Ovis aries: one gene and its partners. The protein of the gene in region 1 interacts with the protein of each later gene in a biochemical or structural test. Links are inferred from orthologs where the notes say so. Each region holds a gene or a part of one and is shown on either strand. Other genes may lie near its edges. The genes, in order: PRKN, SEPTIN5 and SNCAIP.

What was found.
Region 2: of the proteins of PRKN (region 1) and SEPTIN5, one has a biochemical effect on the other in vitro, tested with the Homo sapiens proteins (2 studies listed by BioGRID). The link is inferred for Ovis aries from reciprocal best matches to the Homo sapiens genes PRKN and SEPTIN5.
Region 3: of the proteins of PRKN (region 1) and SNCAIP, one has a biochemical effect on the other in vitro, tested with the Homo sapiens proteins (3 studies listed by BioGRID). The link is inferred for Ovis aries from reciprocal best matches to the Homo sapiens genes PRKN and SNCAIP.

The regions. Positions count from the first base shown.
Region 1 is NC_056061.1:85,933,610-85,940,136, reverse strand, and holds the start of PRKN (E3 ubiquitin-protein ligase parkin), read left to right. Parts: upstream 1-2,118; 5' UTR 2,119-2,219; coding exon 2,220-2,226; intron 2,227-6,527. Other genes in the region: PACRG (parkin coregulated gene protein), read right to left, coding at 1,479-1,634. UniProt on the Homo sapiens protein: Functions within a multiprotein E3 ubiquitin ligase complex, catalyzing the covalent attachment of ubiquitin moieties onto substrate proteins. Substrates include SYT11 and VDAC1.
Region 2 is NC_056070.1:72,821,329-72,827,855, forward strand, and holds the start of SEPTIN5 (septin-5), read left to right. Parts: upstream 1-2,785; 5' UTR 2,786-3,039; coding exon 3,040-3,120; exon of another isoform or gene 3,121-3,320; coding exon of another isoform or gene 3,321-3,353; intron 3,354-3,718; coding exon 3,719-3,815; intron 3,816-3,907; coding exon 3,908-3,994; intron 3,995-4,186; coding exon 4,187-4,310; intron 4,311-4,384; coding exon 4,385-4,519; intron 4,520-4,616; coding exon 4,617-4,734; intron 4,735-4,823; coding exon 4,824-4,925; intron 4,926-5,629; coding exon 5,630-5,726; intron 5,727-5,810; coding exon 5,811-5,946; intron 5,947-6,076; coding exon 6,077-6,179; intron 6,180-6,405; coding exon 6,406-6,462; 3' UTR 6,463-6,527. UniProt on the Homo sapiens protein: Filament-forming cytoskeletal GTPase. May play a role in cytokinesis. May play a role in platelet secretion.
Region 3 is NC_056058.1:29,242,063-29,248,589, forward strand, and holds the start of SNCAIP (synphilin-1), read right to left. Parts: upstream 4,006-6,527; 5' UTR 3,665-4,005; intron 3,559-3,664; exon of another isoform or gene 3,498-3,558; intron 3,180-3,497; exon of another isoform or gene 3,037-3,179; intron 1-3,036. UniProt on the Homo sapiens protein: Isoform 2 inhibits the ubiquitin ligase activity of SIAH1 and inhibits proteasomal degradation of target proteins. Isoform 2 inhibits autoubiquitination and proteasomal degradation of SIAH1, and thereby increases cellular levels of SIAH.

The DNA of each region.
Region 1 (6,527 bases):
CTGCTTCATAATCAGTTTTTTGTGTTGTTGTTTGAGTCTTGTTACATTTCACAATACTGAAATATTTGATTTTCCAGAATTATGACTTTAGGTGAAAGGCTAGGTTTCTAAAAAATAAACACGATTATACATACACTTTTTCTAAAAAAAAGAATCTGGTCAATTTTGTACATGTCTTTGAAGAAACATAACATTTTGGGAAAAATCATTAAAATTATATATACTGAGTAGAAGGAAAAAAAAGAAATAATTAGCTTGAATGTTATGGCATTCTGTGTTGCTGATAAACTAATCATCTTGGCTCCCATGATCACCTGTTTACAAGATATACTCACAAAAGGACCGCAGTTACAACAAGCAGAAAGTTTTAGTCTATTTCTGGGAATAACTATTGCAATGCAACTAACACACATTCCAATAATTAGAATTTCATTTTGTGTAGCAATGTGGAAATCTGGCCTGTGGGTCTTAAGGTGATCTATTTCATTTGCATATTTTAAGGATGTAGTTTAGGAATAATGTATTAAGTTTGCAACATTTATGTGAAACAAATAATGTGACACTGGAAAGCAATGCTATTCATTCAACATATGAGTTGCTACACAATAAATCAGACCCTCCCAGAGTGTAAATTACACAAATTTGAAAGCTGCATTTATTATTGAATATATCATTCTCAGCCAGGTGCTTAGTCAGTAGGAAAACCTGGTGTAGCACACATTTAAAGCTTTTTTTTTAAAACTGTTATGCATATACTGAAACCTGCCATGTGCAGTTTAAACTTTTCCCCCCTAATACTATTGAGAATAATGGATTTTTACTACCACAAAACAATAGAAATGAAATATGAATTGTATTAATAGTCAGAAGTATTTGCATCAAATCTTGGAAATTTTAAAATTAAAAGTTTAAAAGGTCTATTTGGAAACAGACTTCTTATTAAGTTGCTTCTCAGTACTCTAACATGCCTTTTCGTGAGAATCTTATTAGAAAAAATGCTAGGATATTCTTATAATATCTAGGTTGAATTGATAAAATTTCTTACTGTTAATGAGTTTGGGTTCCCAGCTGTACATCAGAAATGTTAAATTTTGCAAGGGAGTTCATGATTTCCAAGCCTTCTCCTTCTATTAAGGCGCTTTTCTGAGTGGGGCTAGTTTAGGAATCAATAAGTAAAGGGGATCTTTCTTTGTGTATATAGCTGAAGCATAGATTCAGGTGGTCTAGAAACCCTGAGTTATTAGGAAGGTGCTTAGAAACGAGCACAGTACATCAGTTGCCCGAGACTCCTTCTTAACATCCCAGCCTGGACCTCCACACTCTGTTGGGCACCGTCTGCCACTGGCCGAATAAATTGCCATTTTGGGCGAAGACCACCCAGGACATGGGCTCAGAATCCATCCTAGGGCCAGCCAATCTCTGCAACCTGGGGTCCCCTGACTGGGAGCGAGTGCATTCGATTCGGGAAGATCACTTACGACTGAGTTTTTCATCATGGCTTTGACTGTGAAGCCCTCAGAAACCAGGGAGTGAGGCTGGTGCACCGGGAGCGGCTGCTGTGCCAGGAGCTTGGTCTTCGTCGGCAGCTTGGCTGGGCATTTGTTTAAGCTCAGGGTCTCTTTTTCTGCCACCATCTTCCTAGAAAATGTCTTGTTCTCATACAACGTGTAGTAAAAGAGTCAGTGAGATTTATGGATGTGAGGAGGAGGTCGGGGGGAAAAAATGGAAAAAGGCGCGTTAATGGTAGAAATTCAACCCCTTCGTAGCAGTGGTCGATCCAGATGTTTGGCAGCTCCTAGGTGCTGGGAGTTGAGGGGAAGGGAGGGGCGGGAAGAGGGCAGGGCCGAGGCCAGAGCTGCCACAAGCTTCCAAAGGTAACCCTCCCGGTTGCTAAGCGACGCGTCAACACTGAGGCCGGATGGCCCCGCCTCCCGGTGACGTATACGTTTCCTGGGCCTCAGGCCGGAAGGGCGGGCGGCGGGCGGCGACTGACCCGAGGCGGTACTTAACGAGTGAAAACTACGACTCCCAGAAGGCCGCGGGCGGCACGCCGTTCGCGCGTGCGCGTTTCGAGGGCCGGGCGCCGGGAGGAGGGGGAGGGGGAGGGGCGTCCCGGACGATTTAACCCCGGAGCGCCGCTCGTGTGAGGCGCAGGCGGGCGCCCGGGTGCGAGTGGGACCCTGCTCGCCTGGCGGGCCGCGTCCGCCTGCCCAGTGGCCATGATAGGTACGTGGGTACCTGCCAGGTACAGCGTCTCTGCGCCGCCCCTCTCGGCGGGGACCCCCCCCACCCCGGGTGCCCGCTGTCAGTGGCGGGTGGCGGTGTCCGCGCTCCCCTCAGCCCGCGCCGCCGGCTCCCCGAGAAGACGTGTGTGTCTCTGTCCCAAGCCCCGCCCGCGCCCGCCTTGCCAGGCTTCTTCCCGGAGACGCCTTCGCCAGGGGGGCCCAGCGCGGGCGTCCGTGGGGAAGCCCCTCTTCCCGCCGCCCGCTCGAGCGCGGGGGTCCGTAGGGAACCCCCTCTTCCCGCGCCAACTCGGGGCGCCTTGGGGGGCTGTCTTCCCGCTGAGGACGGGGCGGGGGGACCCACACTGTCCGGGGAGCTCTTGAAGGGAAACCTTAGCGAAGCGCTAAACTCTTGATAGACCGGTGCCTGGTGATGGTGCTTGAGGTCAAAAGAAATTCCCGCAGGTGGATTTGAACTTCTTACACTCTTGGATTTTTGTCTTCTAGATAATCTCTTTGGAGGTCTGAGATGAAAGAATAATTAATAGTGAATGATAGTAAGGATTAAAACTTCCAGCATGATGAATTTACGATTCATTATGCAACAACCTTTTTTAAAATATATATATATATAAATCTTTATATATACATGTATATATATACACACACACACAGAATGACCTAGCTGCATTTTTGTGAATAAAGCTTTGGAAGTGGCTGTTAGAATTGCTTGTAATCACTGTAGTAAAGAAGACTGGAAAAGTCCCCCTTTTCCAGGATTGTTAAGCCAAAAATTAGTTTATCTCTGAAAATTAGTGGAAATATACGATGTGATTACAAAACATTGCTCCTTGGGGAGTTTATTATGACAGATTTCCTCTAGACTGTGTGTTAATTGGTTTGGTGAGGTTTTTTTTTTTGGGGGGGGCGAGTTATTCTTGACTGGGTGCCGCTTAAAGCACTTTTGATTGCCTCAGGTGCGTGTGAATGTAGTTTATCCAAGAAGATGGAAGGTGATTTTTAAAAGTAAGTTTCTACATACTGATAAACTCTTCTTACATCAGTTATTTATTAGACTAATGTTAAAATCTGAAACGTTCTATCCAACACTAGGAGGAATATGCCAGCTAACCGACACTGCAACAATGTAAAACCTGAGGATGTTGTCCAGTTTTTCCTACTTTTCTAACATGATGTGGTTTCTGATGAATGGGTTATCTAATTAAGAAAAATATATAAGGTTTTGTGAATATTTTGACCTTTTTTAGGTGACAGTTACACGAGATTCATTTTCTAACGCAAATCTAAACTGAATCAGAAAAATATGAAAATTTCCAAAATTCATGCTGTCCATATTTTACAGGGAAAAAATAGTCTACACCTTGTCTTGAAGACAGTTGTACAGATTTTATTGTAATTGAACATAATCTGATACATGGATAATTCTAAAAGAAATAAATTTACAGTAAAGCTATTTAGGGGCTTCCCCAGTGATACTAGTGGTAAAGAACCTGACTCTGTGCAGGAGATATAAGAGACGCAGGTTCTGTCCCTGGATCGGGAAGATCCCCTGGAGGAGGGCATGGAAACCCACTCCAGTATTCATGCCTGGAGAATCCCATGGACAAAGAAGCCTGGTGGGCTACAGGCCATATGGTCGCAAAGAGTTGGATATGACTGAAGCAACCTAGCACGCTCACACGCAAAGCTATGTAAAGGCAAGAATTTAAGATCTAAAAGTCATCAGTTAATTCTGAATTATTCTCTAAGATGATTATATAAATAATGTTGTTAGAATGAACTATGTTTAGGTGGTTTAGTTTGGGATTTAGGGACACAGGAAGGAAGAGTATTATCTTTAGATCTGATGATTAGACATTTCTTAATCACTGGTAGTGCCATGGAGAATATAAGGTGGTATTTTAAAAGTGTTGTTTCTCATACTCCAGCTATTGTTTTACACGCTGCAAATAAGTATAACATAAATAATTAAATCCATGTACTCTCCTGAGAAAAATACTTCACATGTTAAAGCCATGTGGATAATATACAATAAATTATTCTGTACAGCTACTCAACTAGTTGCATTGCCTAATTCTGTCAGTGGGTATATTGTAATAAAAATCTTAATTGCCAATTTTGGGCTTGGTTATGTTGAATAATGCCAAAGGTAAGTGAAAGTGGGAGCAATTGAAGGAAGGTCTTGGAGTGATGAGTTTCCCATTTCTGATAAAACTTTGGAGCCAGGAAAGGCATTATAGTCTATATCCAGTGATATACGGAAGATTAAACATATTCACTAATATATATATGGGGATGATTTTATTTTTTGTTTACCGACATGTGTGCTACTCAGGTGGCGCCAGTGGTAAGCAACCTGCCTGCCAGTGCGGGAGACATGAGAGATGCGGGTTCCATCCCCGGGTCAGGAAGAATCCCTGGAGGAGGAAATGGGGGTCCGTGGGGGACCCCCACAGCAATTGATTTCCTCACTACCAATAAAATTATCTTCCTTTACCTTCTCAAAACTCACGATTCTTTCTTGTCACAGAGACTGTTTCAAAAGTACTACATGTCCCAGTTAGATTAATATGTTAAATGCCCTGACTCAGCTACAGAAACAACTTAAGTAGGTGAAAAATTATTATTTTTTGAGAAATATGGAGAGGACTGTAAATAAACCAGAATAAAAAGCTTAAGAAAATTCAACTAAGAAAAAAATATAAATTTTGGCATTTCTCTTAAAATTATATTTCACCCTTTTAAAATTAACAGTGTTTGTGTTTAAAACTGAGTTTTAATAGTGACATTTGTGGTATCCTATATGTATGTTGCATTGAACTAAATTTAGGTATTTCAGTAGGATCAGATGTCCTCATGTACACCCAGTAGAGGAGTGTGTGCCTGCTAAGTCACATCAGTCCTATCTGACTCTTTGCGACCCCATGGACTGTAGCCCTCCAGGCTCCTCTGTCCATGGGATTCTCCAGGCAGGAATACTGGAGTGGATTGCCCTGCTGTCCTCCAGGGGATCTTCCTGACCCAGGTCTCCTGTGGATCCTGCACTGCAGGTGGATTCTTTACCACTGAGCCGCCAGGGAAGCCCTGAAGTACATGGAAATACATATATATAATTATGTTGCCAATATTGAAATTCAAACTCAATGTCTTAAAAATGATTTTTAGTGATCTAAAAAAAATAATAATTAGAACAATCTTTTTTGTACTTTGTTTAACTTGACAGCTCTTAGAAAACTTATGAATCTGTGTGTGCAGATGGACCCTACAGTTACTCCTGTCTAGTATTTAATGGATATACATAAATTATGTAGATAGTCTCCAATAAATGAGCATACGGTAGGTTTTCAGATAGTTGCTATCATTAGGAGTGTTTGTGTCCATATGACTTTATTTGCTTATGTAAGCTCATATGTAAAGTAAAAAGATTACAAGCTCTGAGTGGATTTTCTAGTTAAAAGGTTTGTAGAGGGACTTCCCTGGTGGCCCAGTGGCTAAGACTCTGCATTCCTAGTGCAGGGGGCCTGGGTTCCATCCCTGGTCAAGGAGCTAAATCTCACATGCGGCGTGCCTCAGTGAAGACCAAGGATCCCACGTGCCCCACTGAAACCCAGAACAGCCAAATAAATAAATACATATTTTAAAAAGAAAGATTCATAGATTTTGAATTTTGCTAGGTATTTCCAAATTGTTTAAAAGAAATCACCATGTTTTACACTTCTGTCCACCATAGCAAGGCAGCAAAGAGCTATCCTACTCGTGTGAGCTGAAGAAATTACAAAAAGACATCCTCCCCAGAACTGACCCAGCCTTCCACAGCAAAGCACCTGCTGGGTTTGCCCTCTCCTGCCCCGTCCCCACCCTAAACTTACTGCCTTTAAACAGTGCTGGAAGCTCACAACTGTCCGTGTGTCCCTGCCCCCACCAACAGCATTTGTGCGTGTCCACGTTCCCCCCGTGGAGCGTAAAATATTTTTGCCTTTCTGATAGATGAGAAACAATATATTTTAATTTTTCAAATGAATTTAAGAAGAAAACCCCTTCACTTCTCACTTTATCGTGCTTTATTTCCATGAAAGCAGATTCAGTAATTGAGTATCTACTGTGTGCCCAGTACTGTTCTGGGTGCCAGGGATACATGAAGTGAAGTTGCTCGGTTGTGTCCGACTCTTTGCGACCCCGTGGATTGTAGCCTACCAGGCTTCTCCGTCCATGGGATTTCCAGGCAAGAGTGCTGGAGTGGATTGCCATTTCCTTCTCCAGGGGACTTTCCCGACCCAGGAATCG
Region 2 (6,527 bases), on another chromosome or scaffold:
CGACCCTGGCTTGCGCCGCGTGGGCCCCTGCCCGATGGGGGATGGGCCGGGTGCCGCCTCCCACTGGTCCGGCGCCGGCCTCTCCTTGTTGAACTGGCCCGAGACCGCGGGCGGGGGGCTCCTGAGGGAGCCCCTGGTCATGGAAGGCCAGGGGCGGGGGGAGGGGTCTGCGACCAGCAGCCGGGCCGACCCCGAGTGGCCCCACACGGACAGGCCGGGCGGGCGGCTGCTGGGGCCACCCCACCCAGCGTCTCTGCATCCTCTTCCCGCTGAGAGATGTGAGTGGGCTGACCTGGGGCCTCTTCCCCAGACTGGGAGCCTCCAGGGCCTGGTCTGAGTCATCCCTCTGCCCAGCATGGGTCTTCAGACCTAGAGGGTACAAACTGGTTCACCCAAGGGCTGGCCTGGACCCCCACCCTCCAGGTGCACAGGGCTGGACAGAAGGCTGCCTGGACACCCACTGCGAACCTGGCTGAGGTCAGGTTTAAACATCGAGGAGGCCCCGTGGAGGGGGGCGTATCGGGGGAGCTTGGGGCCCTGGGGCAGCCCCACTGGCTGAGGTCTCTCTGCTCGAGCGCAGCTGTGTTTAGGGCAGAACAGGAAGGCTGACTTGGGCACCAGGGTGGCCTTGGCGCCCTTGTCAGGGATGGGGGTTCACACCCTGGGTGGAGCCCCACAGTATTGGCCCAGGTGTGGCAGGTGGGCGGAGCGGCCTGGCAGGTGGAGCTGGCGCTGGGAGTTGCCGACTGCGCCCTGGGCCGGGGGAGGCTCGTGGGGAGGGGCCTCTCATCTTCACCCTGCCAGCAAGGGGCTCCCTGGGGAGCCAGGGCCAGGAGCTGCCTGCCCATGCTGCGGGTCAAACAATGCAGGAGGCACAGGGCCAGCCCGCCAGCCTGCCATTGTTCAGGGAGAGACGGGGCAAGCCCCGGGAGACCGGCCCCCTACTCCGGGGCCTGCGGGCACTTGGGGTTCCCTGCTGGGACTCCAGCCCCTCTGGGCTGGTGTCTGCCCCACCTGGAGCTCAGCTAGGACCGGCCTCACCCATGCCTGCCCCCGGGGCCTGAGGCAGAGGGCGTGATGTGGGTGGCATGTAGGGTCCCCCCGGGATTGGGGCCAGGAGCCAGGCTTTTGGGGCAGGGTCCCCGTGGGTCTTCACTGTTCCATTGTTGGCGTTCTGAGCCTCAGCCTGTCGCCCCTCCAGGAAAGAGGGGGACTCGATGGACCCCTCCGTGCCCACCATCTGAGGCACGGGGTGGGGGCTCTGGTGGTCCCCTGTACCCTCCCCCACCGCAACCCCTTTCAGCGAAAGTGGTGGTTCCCCTGGCTCTGGCTCCCGTCCCCAGAGCCGATGGGGAGATTCTAAGAATGAAAACGCCTTGAGAGTGTCAGGCACCAGGCGGTGGGGAGGAGGTGGGCGCGGCACTGAGTCCTCGGGAGTGTCTGTTGTGCCTCGAGGACCAGACAAAGCGGGCGGCAGGGCCCTCTCCTTGGGGACCCCCAGGGAATCCCCAGCCCTGCGCGGGTGAGGTGGGGTGCGGGCCAGGCTGGCAGGGGCTGGGCTTGTCCCGTCCCGGGCCTCCCGAGGCTGTTCCTTACCAGTGGGCAAACCAAGGCCGTCTGGGCAGTGCACTCTTCAGGCCCCAGGGTGTGGAGAGATGAGGCCAGGCCTGGCTCTGTCCTCGGAGGTGCCCCGGGCCCGAGAGGTTAGCTTGTCCACCCGGCAGGAACTGGGCCTAGGAGCCGTGTCTAAGGTGGCGCCCGGGGTTGGAGGCTGGGGGATACTCATGCTGGAGACCCCCCACAGGTGCACGTGGCGGGTGATTTCTCGGAGCCAGGGCACGGGGCCGGGCTGTGGCCTGTGGCCCCCCCCGCCGCCGTCCTCTTGGATGAAAGGCGCCCCTGTTCCCAGCAGTGGACCCACCCCTCCTCCGCAGGTGCCAGCAGCCTCCAGGCCCCATGGCAGCAGCTCCAGCCTGGACTGGGGGACAGAGGCCCCTTAAGCAGGGAGCCAGGAAGGGAGGGCGGGTGAGGGTGTGGGGGCCTCCTGCCCCTACTGACAAGAGTTCAGAGGCATCCACCTCTTTGGAGGCCCAGCTCCTTCCCGTTGGTCTGGCCTGTTCAGATTCTGGTGGGGGGCCTGCGGGGTGGGGGCGACGCTGGGTTTGTCGGCTCAGGAGACCCCCGTGGTCCCTGGCATCGCGGCACAGGCAAGAGGGTGGAGCTGGCTGGAGCCCCCCAGGCTCCCTATTGCCCAATCCTGGGGGTGAGGGCAGGGTGGAAGCTCAGAGTGCCCCCCCCCCGGGGAAGGGGTCCGCTCCATCAGCCCCCCTCGGCTGGCAGCAGCTTTCTGGCCAGCAGGGCTGGCCGGCGGGTTTGGGGGGGCCACAGCTTCCGCGTTTGCAGAGGAGATGGGGGCCGGGCATCTAGGGCTGTGACTGTCCCTCCGGCCCGACGCGGGCCTGGGTGGGGAGCCGGGCTCTACCCTCGCAGGTTCCCGGCTGGTCTCAGGGGCCGCGGCGGTAAGCATTCTCCGGACACGCGCGGGGGCCAGGGCGCGCAGGGAGGGCTGCGTCTGTGGGGAGTTTCGGGGGGCCGGGCGGGAGCGCGCGGATGGGGCTCCCTCTGGCGGCGGGCGCGGCGGCGCGGACCCGCCGTGGACCGGCCCCCGCCGTGCAGTCGCGGGGCTGACGGCCCGAGCCGCGCCGCTCCGCGCGCAGCCGCCCGCCCGCCCCGCCGAGCTGGGCCCTGCCCTCCTCCGCTCCGGTGGCTCCGCCCGCGCGGCCTCATTTCCAGGCGACCGTCTCCCGGAGACCGCGCGCTCCCGTCCGGCGTAGGGACCCGCTTGTGCCCGGGGCTGGCCGTCTGGGGCCGGACCCGCGGCTCGAGGGGGGCCTCGGGGTCGCGCATCGCCTGAGCGCCGCCCCGCCCCGGGCCCCGGTGCCCGCGTCCGTGCGCCCCCCGGGGCGAGAGCACGCCTGGCGGCGGGCTGGCCTGACCCTCTGGGCCCCAGCGCGGCCGCACGGCCCCAGGCTGGCGGGGATGGACTCGCTGGCAGCGCCCCAAGACCGCCTGGTGGAGCCGCTGCTGTCGCCGCGGACCCAGGCCCAGAGGCGGCTCAAGGTGTGTGTGGATTGGGGCGCGGAAAGTGGGTCAGCGTGCGCCCACCCCGGTGCCCGGACTGGGGATATGACAGGGGCTGCAGGGCCCTGGGGTCCTGGGGTGGGCGCCGGGCCTTGGGGAGGCCAGGGGCTGCTGTCTATAAATAGCCCCAGCTCCACCGTTGCTGCAGCCAGCCACCCCCGCGGCTGGATCGGGGCCAGATGGGGCCTCCCACCCCCTACTTTCGCAGAGGGGTGAGTATTCAGGTGGGGGCTTCTCCAGCTTCGGAGGGCCTTGGGCATGTCTGAGGGGTCCGGGTCCTGGTGCCCTCTGCCCCCCACCCAAGGACACCGGCCTCACTGGGTGTGCCTGTTGCCCCCGCTCCGGGCACAGATCCATCTCTGTGAAGCCCTTGAGGGCACCACTACCCTTCACGCCCACCCGCCTCCCACCTCAGGGGGGTCCTTTGCCCACAGACCCTCACCCGCTGCTGCTACTGAGATGCCCCTTCCCCGGGGGACCCTGCCCTGCTGCCTCCCTGGCCTGAGCGGGGTAGGGGCAGGGCCCGGGGCTGCCCAGGGAACCGGGGCGTGTCCCTGACCTGCCCCGCCCCCGCCAGGACGTCGACAAGCAGTACGTGGGCTTTGCCACACTGCCCAACCAGGTGCACCGCAAGTCTGTGAAGAAGGGCTTCGACTTCACGCTCATGGTGGCCGGTGAGTGGGCCGGGCCCCAGGTCGGGCAGGGGCACGGGCAGCCATGCTGTCTGGAGCCTGGGACCTGACCTCCCCACTGCATCTGTGGGCAGGGGAGTCGGGCCTGGGGAAGTCCACGTTGGTCCACAGCCTCTTCCTGACGGACCTCTACAAGGAGCGGAAGCTGCTGAGTGCCGAGGGTGAGTGGGCCCCACAGCCCTGCTGGATGACTCTCTCAAGGGCTCCTTCCAGGTCCAGCCCCGATCCTCTGTCCCCGAAGCGTGGGTCCAGACCACCGCCAGGCCACGTAACCTGGGAGCGTCTGGGGTGCCCGGGGGTAGGAGTCGGGGCCGCAGAGGCCACTCTAAACCACCCCCCGGCCCCCGCCCCAGAGCGCATCAGCCAGACGGTTGAGATCCTGAAGCACACGGTGGACATCGAAGAAAAGGGGGTGAAGCTGAAGCTCACCATCGTGGACACGCCGGGCTTCGGGGACGCCGTCAACAACTCTGAGTGGTGAGGAAGGCTTGCCCGGGCGGCCCCAGCCCCCGGCCCCCAGCCCGGCCGGCCTCACGCGTGCCCACCCCCAGCTGGAAGCCCGTCACTGACTACGTGGACCAGCAGTTCGAGCAGTACTTCCGGGACGAGAGCGGCCTCAACCGCAAGAACATCCAGGACAACCGTGTGCACTGCTGCCTCTACTTCATCTCCCCCTTCGGGCACGGGTAGGTGGCCGCCCCGGCCAGGCGGCCCGCCCGTGCCTCGGGCACCCCCCCCCCGCCACCCCCGCCCCGCGAGCCCCTCACCCCGGCCCCCCCACAGGCTGCGGCCGGTGGACGTGGGCTTCATGAAGGCGCTGCACGAGAAGGTGAACATCGTGCCCCTCATCGCCAAGGCCGACTGTCTTGTCCCAGGGGAGATCCGGAAGCTGAAAGAGCGGGTGAGCCTGCGGGGGTGGGGGTCTCCGCAGGGCTCAAGGGGGGGACTGAGGCCGCCGGCCCCTCCCCTGACAGCCCTGGCTGGCTGCAGATCCGGGAAGAGATCGACAAGTTTGGGATCCACGTGTACCAGTTTCCTGAGTGCGACTCGGACGAGGATGAGGACTTCAAGCAGCAGGACAGGGAGCTGAAGGTGAGCCTGCATCGCGTGGGGGGACCCCAGAGGCCACTGTACAGCGGGTCTAGAAGAGTGCTGGGGCCCTGGTCTGACCTGGGGCGGGGGTCGGGGCGGGGGGGACGTGAGACTTTCATCCAGGCTGTAGAGTCTTAGCTGGGGATGGCTCAGGTCCCTGCTGGCCAGTGTGGCTTGGGCCCTGTGTGGTTCTTGGGTCATGGAGTGCTTGCCAGGATACAAGGGCATAGTCACTGGCCAGGCCCCACCCTGGCCCTGCACTCAGCCCCCTTCTCATACCCCGGGAATGTGCATGCCCCAACTCACAGAGTCCTGAGCTCTGGGGGCAGGAGGTGGCTTTGAGTGGTGATGGAGAAGCCAAGCTGGGGACAAGTGGCCACTAGGCCAGGACCAGGGCAGGCCCTTCACCCCAAAGTCAGCAGGGGTATCACTAACAGCACAGGCTCCGCTCTGGGGAAGGAGGGGGAGGGGTACTAGGCAGGGAGGCTACATCTGATTGGGCACAGCCTGGCAAAAGCCCTCCATGTAAGCGGCACCAGCTCTGGCTTCAGCTGGCAACAGAGAGGCCCAAGGTGGGGATAACAGGTTCTTTTTGGGGAGAGTCTATTGTTGGGGACATGGAGGCGTACCCATGCCCCTCTTGGACCGCGGACCTCACACCCATGCTAACTGGGCTGAGCCCTTGCATCTGCCCCCCCGGCCAGGAGAGCGCACCCTTCGCTGTTATCGGCAGCAACACGGTGGTGGAGGCCAAGGGACAGCGGGTCCGGGGGCGTCTGTACCCCTGGGGGATCGTGGAGGGTGAGTCCAGGCCTGGGGCACAGCCTTTGGGGGGGAAGGCTCCCCTGGACCGGTGGCCCACTCACCGGCCGCCCCCGCCCGCAGTGGAGAACCAGGCGCACTGCGACTTCGTGAAGCTTCGCAACATGCTAATCCGCACGCACATGCACGACCTCAAGGACGTGACCTGCGACGTGCACTACGAGAACTACCGCGCGCAGTGCATCCAGCAGATGACCAGGTGCGCGCCCCCGCCCCGCCCCGCCCCGCCCCGCCCCCGCCCCGCCCAGAGGTGCGAGAGCCGCAGGGCCGGCTGGTGTCGAGGGTCAGCCCGGCCTCCAGCAGCCTCGTCCCCGGTGTCCACCCTGCAGCAAGCTGACGCAGGACAGCCGCATGGAGAGCCCCATACCCATCCTGCCACTGCCCACGCCTGACGCCGAGACTGAAAAGCTCATCAGAATGAAAGATGAGGAGGTGGGCGGAGAGCAGGGGCGGAGCCAGTGTGGGTGGGCGGGGAGAGGGGAGGAGCGAGGCTGGGTGGGTGGGGCCAGGGTGGTGGGCGGGGAGAGGGGAGGAGCGAGGCTGGGTGGGTGGGGCCAGGCTGGTGGGCGGGGAGTGGAGGCGGAGCCAGGCTGGGCGCAGGGCAGGCCCCGCCCACCGCTCGCTCACACCGCCCCCGCCGCTCCTGCCCCGCCCCCAGCTAAGGCGGATGCAAGAAATGCTGCAGAAGATGAAGCTGCAGATGCAGGACCAGTGACGCCGCAGCGCACGCGCCATACCTGTGCTGCCGGCTTCCGGGCTGGCCTGTCGCACCCCTGGACC
Region 3 (6,527 bases), on another chromosome or scaffold:
GATTTGGCTGAGGGGAAGATATAGCAAATATAATGCAAGCAGAGGCTTAAAAATCACCTTAAACTGGGGTTTGTTCTTTTGCTGCTCTTGGAATACTGCTTGTCTGTCACATAAAGAAGCCCAGGCTAGTCAGCTGGAGAATGGGAGGCATGCCACAGTTACCTGTTAACCTGACCTAATAACTATCAGACATAAATGAGACCATCCTAATCATCCAAACTACCAGGTGACTGAAGATATCAGAGGAACTCAGCCAAGAGCAGCAGCAGAACCACCTCACTGAACCCGGCTTGAACTACCAACCACACAATTGCAAGCAATACAGTCATTTTAAGCAATGATTTGGGGATGATTTGTTACACAGCAATGGATAACCGGAAAAACATCTAAGCTGACTTGGTTACTTTCTCATGGGAATTCCTTTTCAATTACTGCTCACTGTCTTGTGCAATTAATCATAAAATATTAGTCAATCAGCACTTTTCCAGGACCCAGCTGTCAATCATATCAATTAAAAATCAAAAAATTAATCATTTCAACACATATTTTGATCAATTTTAAAAGCTTAAAAAGGAGTGATAAGATATATAAATTATAAAATATAAAATCCTGTTATCTACAGGCATGAAATCATGCATAGTATACATATTAGTAACCACTTTATTGAATCATTTCCAGAAAATAAATTCTTGCAAGTAGAATCTGCACACCAATCTAAGGGGCACAAGGAAACAAGCATGTAAAGGTACAAGTTCCACAGAAGCAAATGTTTGATTTTCACCAGGAAATTATTTTTCTCCCAAGACACCTATTCCTCCTATGTGGTTTGCAACCCTAATCTGACAGACTGCCAAAAAACAAACTTTCTATTCTAAGAGTGTCACTTGATTCTCTTGTTGCTATTCAATTAGATTTTGCATTTAAAAGAAAAAATTCCCTGGTGTTTCTTATAATGATGCACCTGCTCCTTGGGAGATTTCCTCTTTTGACAAGAAATGCCTTCAATCTGGCAAGAAAAATGACTCTAGGCTTTCTCTGATAATATCAAAGATCATTTGTTTGTATTAGATGTTTATGTGGGTTTTCCTCCTCTTAAGAGCAGTAAAATACTGCTGCAATTCCCTCCAAGACAACAGTGCACAGAAAGTTTCTTGGCCTCTGTCCTGAATTTCCACTGTACACCTGCACAAGACCAACTAGTGGAAAGTGGCAGAGCTATGACACAGTAGGCAGAGAAACTCATTTGCCTTAGCCCCTTCCTTTTGGACATCCATACACAGTAGCAAATGTCAAATCAATAACTGCAGCATCATTTCAAATCTACCATATTGTAACCTTTCCTCATGAAATGCTTGCTCTAGACAAAATGAAGTTTATGTTCAAAGCTGTATTATTTATTTTTTTATATTTTATTTCTAACTGAGATGTCCAAAGATCCTTAAGAGAAGCACCATCTTCTTTCTGTGTCTAGACTTGAAACTCCTACATATTTGGGTAATCTTCAGTTAATACTGCCTTCCAGAGAGACTTCTGCAATGGGAACAAAATGTCACACTTTTTCAAATAAAGGACACCTGAAGGGTGTCTCCCTAGACTCCAGCCAGGCTGAACGTAATTTAACATTGAGATGCATCAGAAGTACCCAACAGACATTCTCTAGATGTGAACCCATTAGCATACTGCTTTCCTAAACCTTATCCTCTCTGTCTTTGAAAATTTCAATATATACAAAGGAAATACAGATTTCAACCCATTCCCAACTGGGACGTCTGCTCCATAATAAGAGAAATAGGTTTTTGCCTTTCTGCAGATTCAGCAGGGAAAGCCATGCTTGAAAATGATGTGTTTAGAGTGACACCTTGGAGAACTGACACCCTCTGCACACATGCAATCCTCATAAACCTCCCCAGACAGCCCTTATTTCATTCTGCACACTGCACCCTGGCTGGGCTCCACAGCACATGGTGTGTGGTGAGACTGTCCTGCAGTGGTTCTCCCTTCCTGGCGGCTCTTTGATGGACAGTTGTCGGTAATAGCCAGGAGGAGAGGGGTCCAGCCACCAGCAAGTGAAAAACGGGCCACCGACAGTAAGCTTCCTTAATTAACTTTCCCAAGGCAAGCCTGTTCCCACAGGAAAAAACACCACGTTTCCCCTCTCCTAGCGGTCCATTGAAAATGAGCAACAATGCTGTTGCCTTTTTGTTTCCTAAAGACTTTCTTCCCCGCAAGCAGTAGCGTGTTCCTCAAAGAATGCTAGTATTTCCTGTGGAAACTGTATGGCTGCCAGTAATGGCTCATAATTTTCCCTCTTTTCCTTTCGTAAAAATGAAATAAACAAAACGTGGCATTTGACAATAGCCAAATTACCAGTCACCTCGCTTACCACCTGCAGATGAGAGACATCACCGCGAAAGGAGGCCAGGAGAGAAACACTCCTGGCTACAATTGACCCGGACGAGCGGGGAACACAGGACAGCGCCCGAGGGTGGTGCCCTAGAGAACCGGGCAGCCAGCGGGCGGCGGTGCCCAAGAGCGAGGGGCTCCCCTTGGGCCGCGCGGCAACCCCAGGCGTCCCTCTTTCGCGATTACTATTATTGTCGGTACTGTTTCTGTGACTATTACTTCGTCCCTGGTTACCTCAGTTCTTAGGAGCCTCGGCACTGCCCATCCCTGCCTCCCACACCATCCCAGGTGGCAGGAAGAAGAATAACCACACGAAACCGGCAAAGGAAAAGAGCAATCCTTTGGAACCTGAGGTGGGGGCTCCTCCCCCCTCCCTCAAGAAGAAGAGAAGCCGCTTGGCAGGCGCCGCCAACGTTACTATAGAGACCTCCCCCCAAACCCTTTCTGCAGAGGCACCGCCGCCACTCGAGCCGCCGGGATTCGCCGCACAAAGGGGCCCCCCCGGGGCTCACGGCGGGGCGGGGGGCACCCCCGCCCGGGTCGCCCGGTGCAAACTTGGAAAGGCTCAGTCGCTCGCGCCGTCGCGCCCCACCCCCGTCTCCCCGCGGCGCCCACCCCGGGACCTGGACTCACCCCGGGCGCCCGGCGCTGCGGCTGCTCAAAAATGCGGACGGACGGACGGACCGACGGACAGATGGACGGCGGCGGCGGGAGCAGGAACCGCGGGAGCCGGCGGGCGGCGGCCGCGCTGCCGCGGCCCCGCTACGTCACAATGCGGCCGGGCCTCCGGCGCCGCTCCCCCCCGGGCCCCCCAGCGGGCGCGCGGCAGCGGGAGGAGGGCAGCCCCGGGGCGGCGGGCGCGGACCTGGCGCGGAGGGACGCGGGGCGCCGAGCGCGGCGCACCGCCGGGCGGGGGCGCGGTCTGCACGGCCGCGGCCGCCGCGCCCTCCCGCCGCCGCCGCGCGCCCGGCGCCCGCCCCCCGGCCCGCGAGCCCCGCGCGGCCTGACTGACGGCGACCCTCCCCCGCCCGCCCCGCGGCGCCCGCCGCGCGGCGGCCCCCAGCCCCGGCCGCGCAGCCTCCGCGCCCGCGAACCTGCTCTTTTCTCCTGTACCTTTGGCCCTCGCACCTCTGTGTCTCTGCTGCTCAACTGGCTGTCTCCGATCTCCTCCCCTCGCACTTTTTACCCCCTTTCGCCTCCGCCCCCCACCCGCGCTGGGCGGCCTCTCCCCCCACCCCCGGGAGATGAAATCGCCCCTCACCGTGATCCCTGCGTCAACCGCTGCCATCTCATTGGTCCCCAACCCATTCCAGGGTTCCAGCCTCGGCCGGGCAGAGACACTCGGGCAGGGGGCGACGGAACATGGGCACGGTCCTGGGAAACGGCCCTGCTTCAGGAGCCCCTTGGCAGAGGATCTTTGCGTTGGCACAGTCCTAAACCCCAATCCTCCCCGCCCGCCCCCAACCCGGTCTCGCCCACCCTCGAGGACTTCGCCAAGGAAGGCAGGCTGAGGGGTCTTTGCCCGGAAGGTTCCGTGCTCGAGTATGGGTGGTGGATGGAGGAGACTTTGGTCTGAACTGATGGTGTTTCTAATTCAGCAACGTTTAATACACCGACGGCCCTTTAGTAATATGAACTTTAAGCAGCTCTGTCTTGATTGGGAGGGGGCGGGGAGCTGCTGGACGAGGCATCCGTCAGTCAGCACTGGTGACTGACTCTTTCCTTCCTTATTTCCGAAGTGAAGTCTGGAGGAGTGGAACCATTGATGCTAACCTTGGCTCACGATCGTCTCGCTCTTGCCCTTTGGAAAGCTTTAAATGGTTTTTAAGAAGGCTCTTTCCCCACCCCGGCAGAAATGGCTCAGAGAAGCTCACTCAGCAAAGCCTTTGAGGGCCACTGTCCTGCTCCTGGGTGTGGCCGCTTGTCTGATGCTGCTCCAGAGCAAAGTGTGAGGAAGCAAGTTCTCTCGTCTGTCTGCTTAGGGGCCGCCTGGTTCCCTTGCCAACTCCGGAGGACAAGAGTGGCGCAGCGATCCTGGGAAATTTGACCCCATCTGGGTTAGTGGCAGTGGGATGTATAGCATGTGTAAGGCTGTCACTGAAAACATATTACCAGTAAAAAAGGAAGGGCATGGTTGTTTAAAAACTGTGGTTGCCTGGATGACTAGTGTAGTCCCTGCGAGGTCCGGGGGCTGCTGTGTTGGCGCTGCAGGGAAGAGGCCCCTGTACTATCCGAGGACACACCCAGCCCTCCCTGCCCTGGACCTCTTTGGATGAGGAGTACATAGTCTCTGAAATAAGGACTGCCTTGAAGGCCAGCAGAAGACATTTCACATGCTTTTGATTCCATTTCCAATTGAGAAACTAAATTTCTCTCTCTGCTGTCTTACATAAACAGCCGAAAGTATGTTCTGCCGGTGTGGTAATTTGTTTACTGTAATTCATCATATATAAGACTTTAAGTACATACACGGAAAGTGGCTTCACAATTTGAAAATACCCACTATCCCTCAGAAAATGTAAAATCAGATGACATCATATGGCACTAAAAAATACTTGAAAATATTGGGTTTAATTCTTTCACATCTGGTTAAAATAAAAATGCCTTTTTTTTTTTTTTTGCCTACTATAAACTCTCAGAAAAGCACATCTTGCTTCCATCCAGTAGATATGGATGGAGTTGGTGTCACCCTTGATATGTTCTATACACAACACACTTTTATTGCCATCCTCTTAAATATTTTGACAGCCTGCTTTTGAAAAATCAAATTTTAACATTGAAGGAGTAATTTTTTGAAGTTATACATGGCTATCTCCTTCCAACTGCCTTAAACATCTAACAGTAAGTAGACCAGTGTTACCTCAGTGTAAACGGTTCAACAAAGAATGGCTATGATCCTGTTACATGGACAGAAAACATTGCTGAGGAGAGAAAATATCGGTTTTGTGTAGCGAAGGAAGAGCATGCTATAGTCTAAAAAAGCAGTCTTGAGATATTGTTTCAGAAATTTTCCCATTTTTTTTAAACTTCTTTTGTTATGGTTCATTCTAACATGTATTTGATTGCATATTTACCATTGTTTCCCTGTGATTATTTTTACACTGTGCCTTAAACCTATGCTTATACACACAGGCAATGAGTTTGCTTTCACTTGGACCATTTGTTGGCTTGCTTCTCCTGTGCACAGTCTTGCCAAATCCTAAACCACAAACTGATACACCAAAGTGCAGAAGTAGTGAAGTAACTGGAGTTGAAACAGAGCTGCTAGATTTTAGATTGGATGGCAAGTAAGCTGGCTTTCTCAAAATAATGCTGACTTTTTATTAAGTTAATAAGTTGCTCTGCCCACTCCTTCAGTGGCTTCTTACTACCAACTACTCTCTGACACTCAGTTTTCTATTCAAGCAGCTGCCTCTACAGGCTAGTACTAACTATGGAATGGCTTAGCAGCCATAGCTACTAGATCATTTACCCCTTTTTAGAACTCCCAGGCCTGCACAGCTTGGAGTGTGCAACTCTTAGAACACTTATTTCTGCTTCACGTCCATTTCTTCTCCCCTACTATTCAGTTGTCAGTTTCCATTCATGCCAGGGAGTTCATATTACTCATATTTGGATCTTCATCACTGAGCAGATTTTTATATTCAAGAGTTAGCTACTGAAAATAATTAGTACAGAAATTCATTTCACTGTAAATCATCTGCCAAAGAGCTGCCATGTAATTATTCATTCAATTATTACAATTAAACAGCTGCCTCTTTCTTTTTACCCAGTTTCCATAATATATCTTTATTGTGCTACAAAAATTGAATAAACCTGCTACAACACTGCCAACGATCAAATAGAAACTGTTCTTTTTTCTTTTCTTTTTCCCATTCTTTAAGTGTTGATTTGCTTAATAAGACATCCACCTCTGCATTAAAGGCTCTGATTTTTATTTCTCATTGCAGAGTGTGAATCACTGAAGAAAGCCCTGTTTGTGGTCCTTTCTGATTTCTGGTTGGAACCTATAATTCAGTTGGGCCCGTGCTTTTGGGCTTTCCAGGTGGCTTAGTGGGGAAAGAGTCCAGCGGCAATGCAGGAGTCGCAGGAGACATGAGTTCTATCTCTGGGTTGGGAAGATC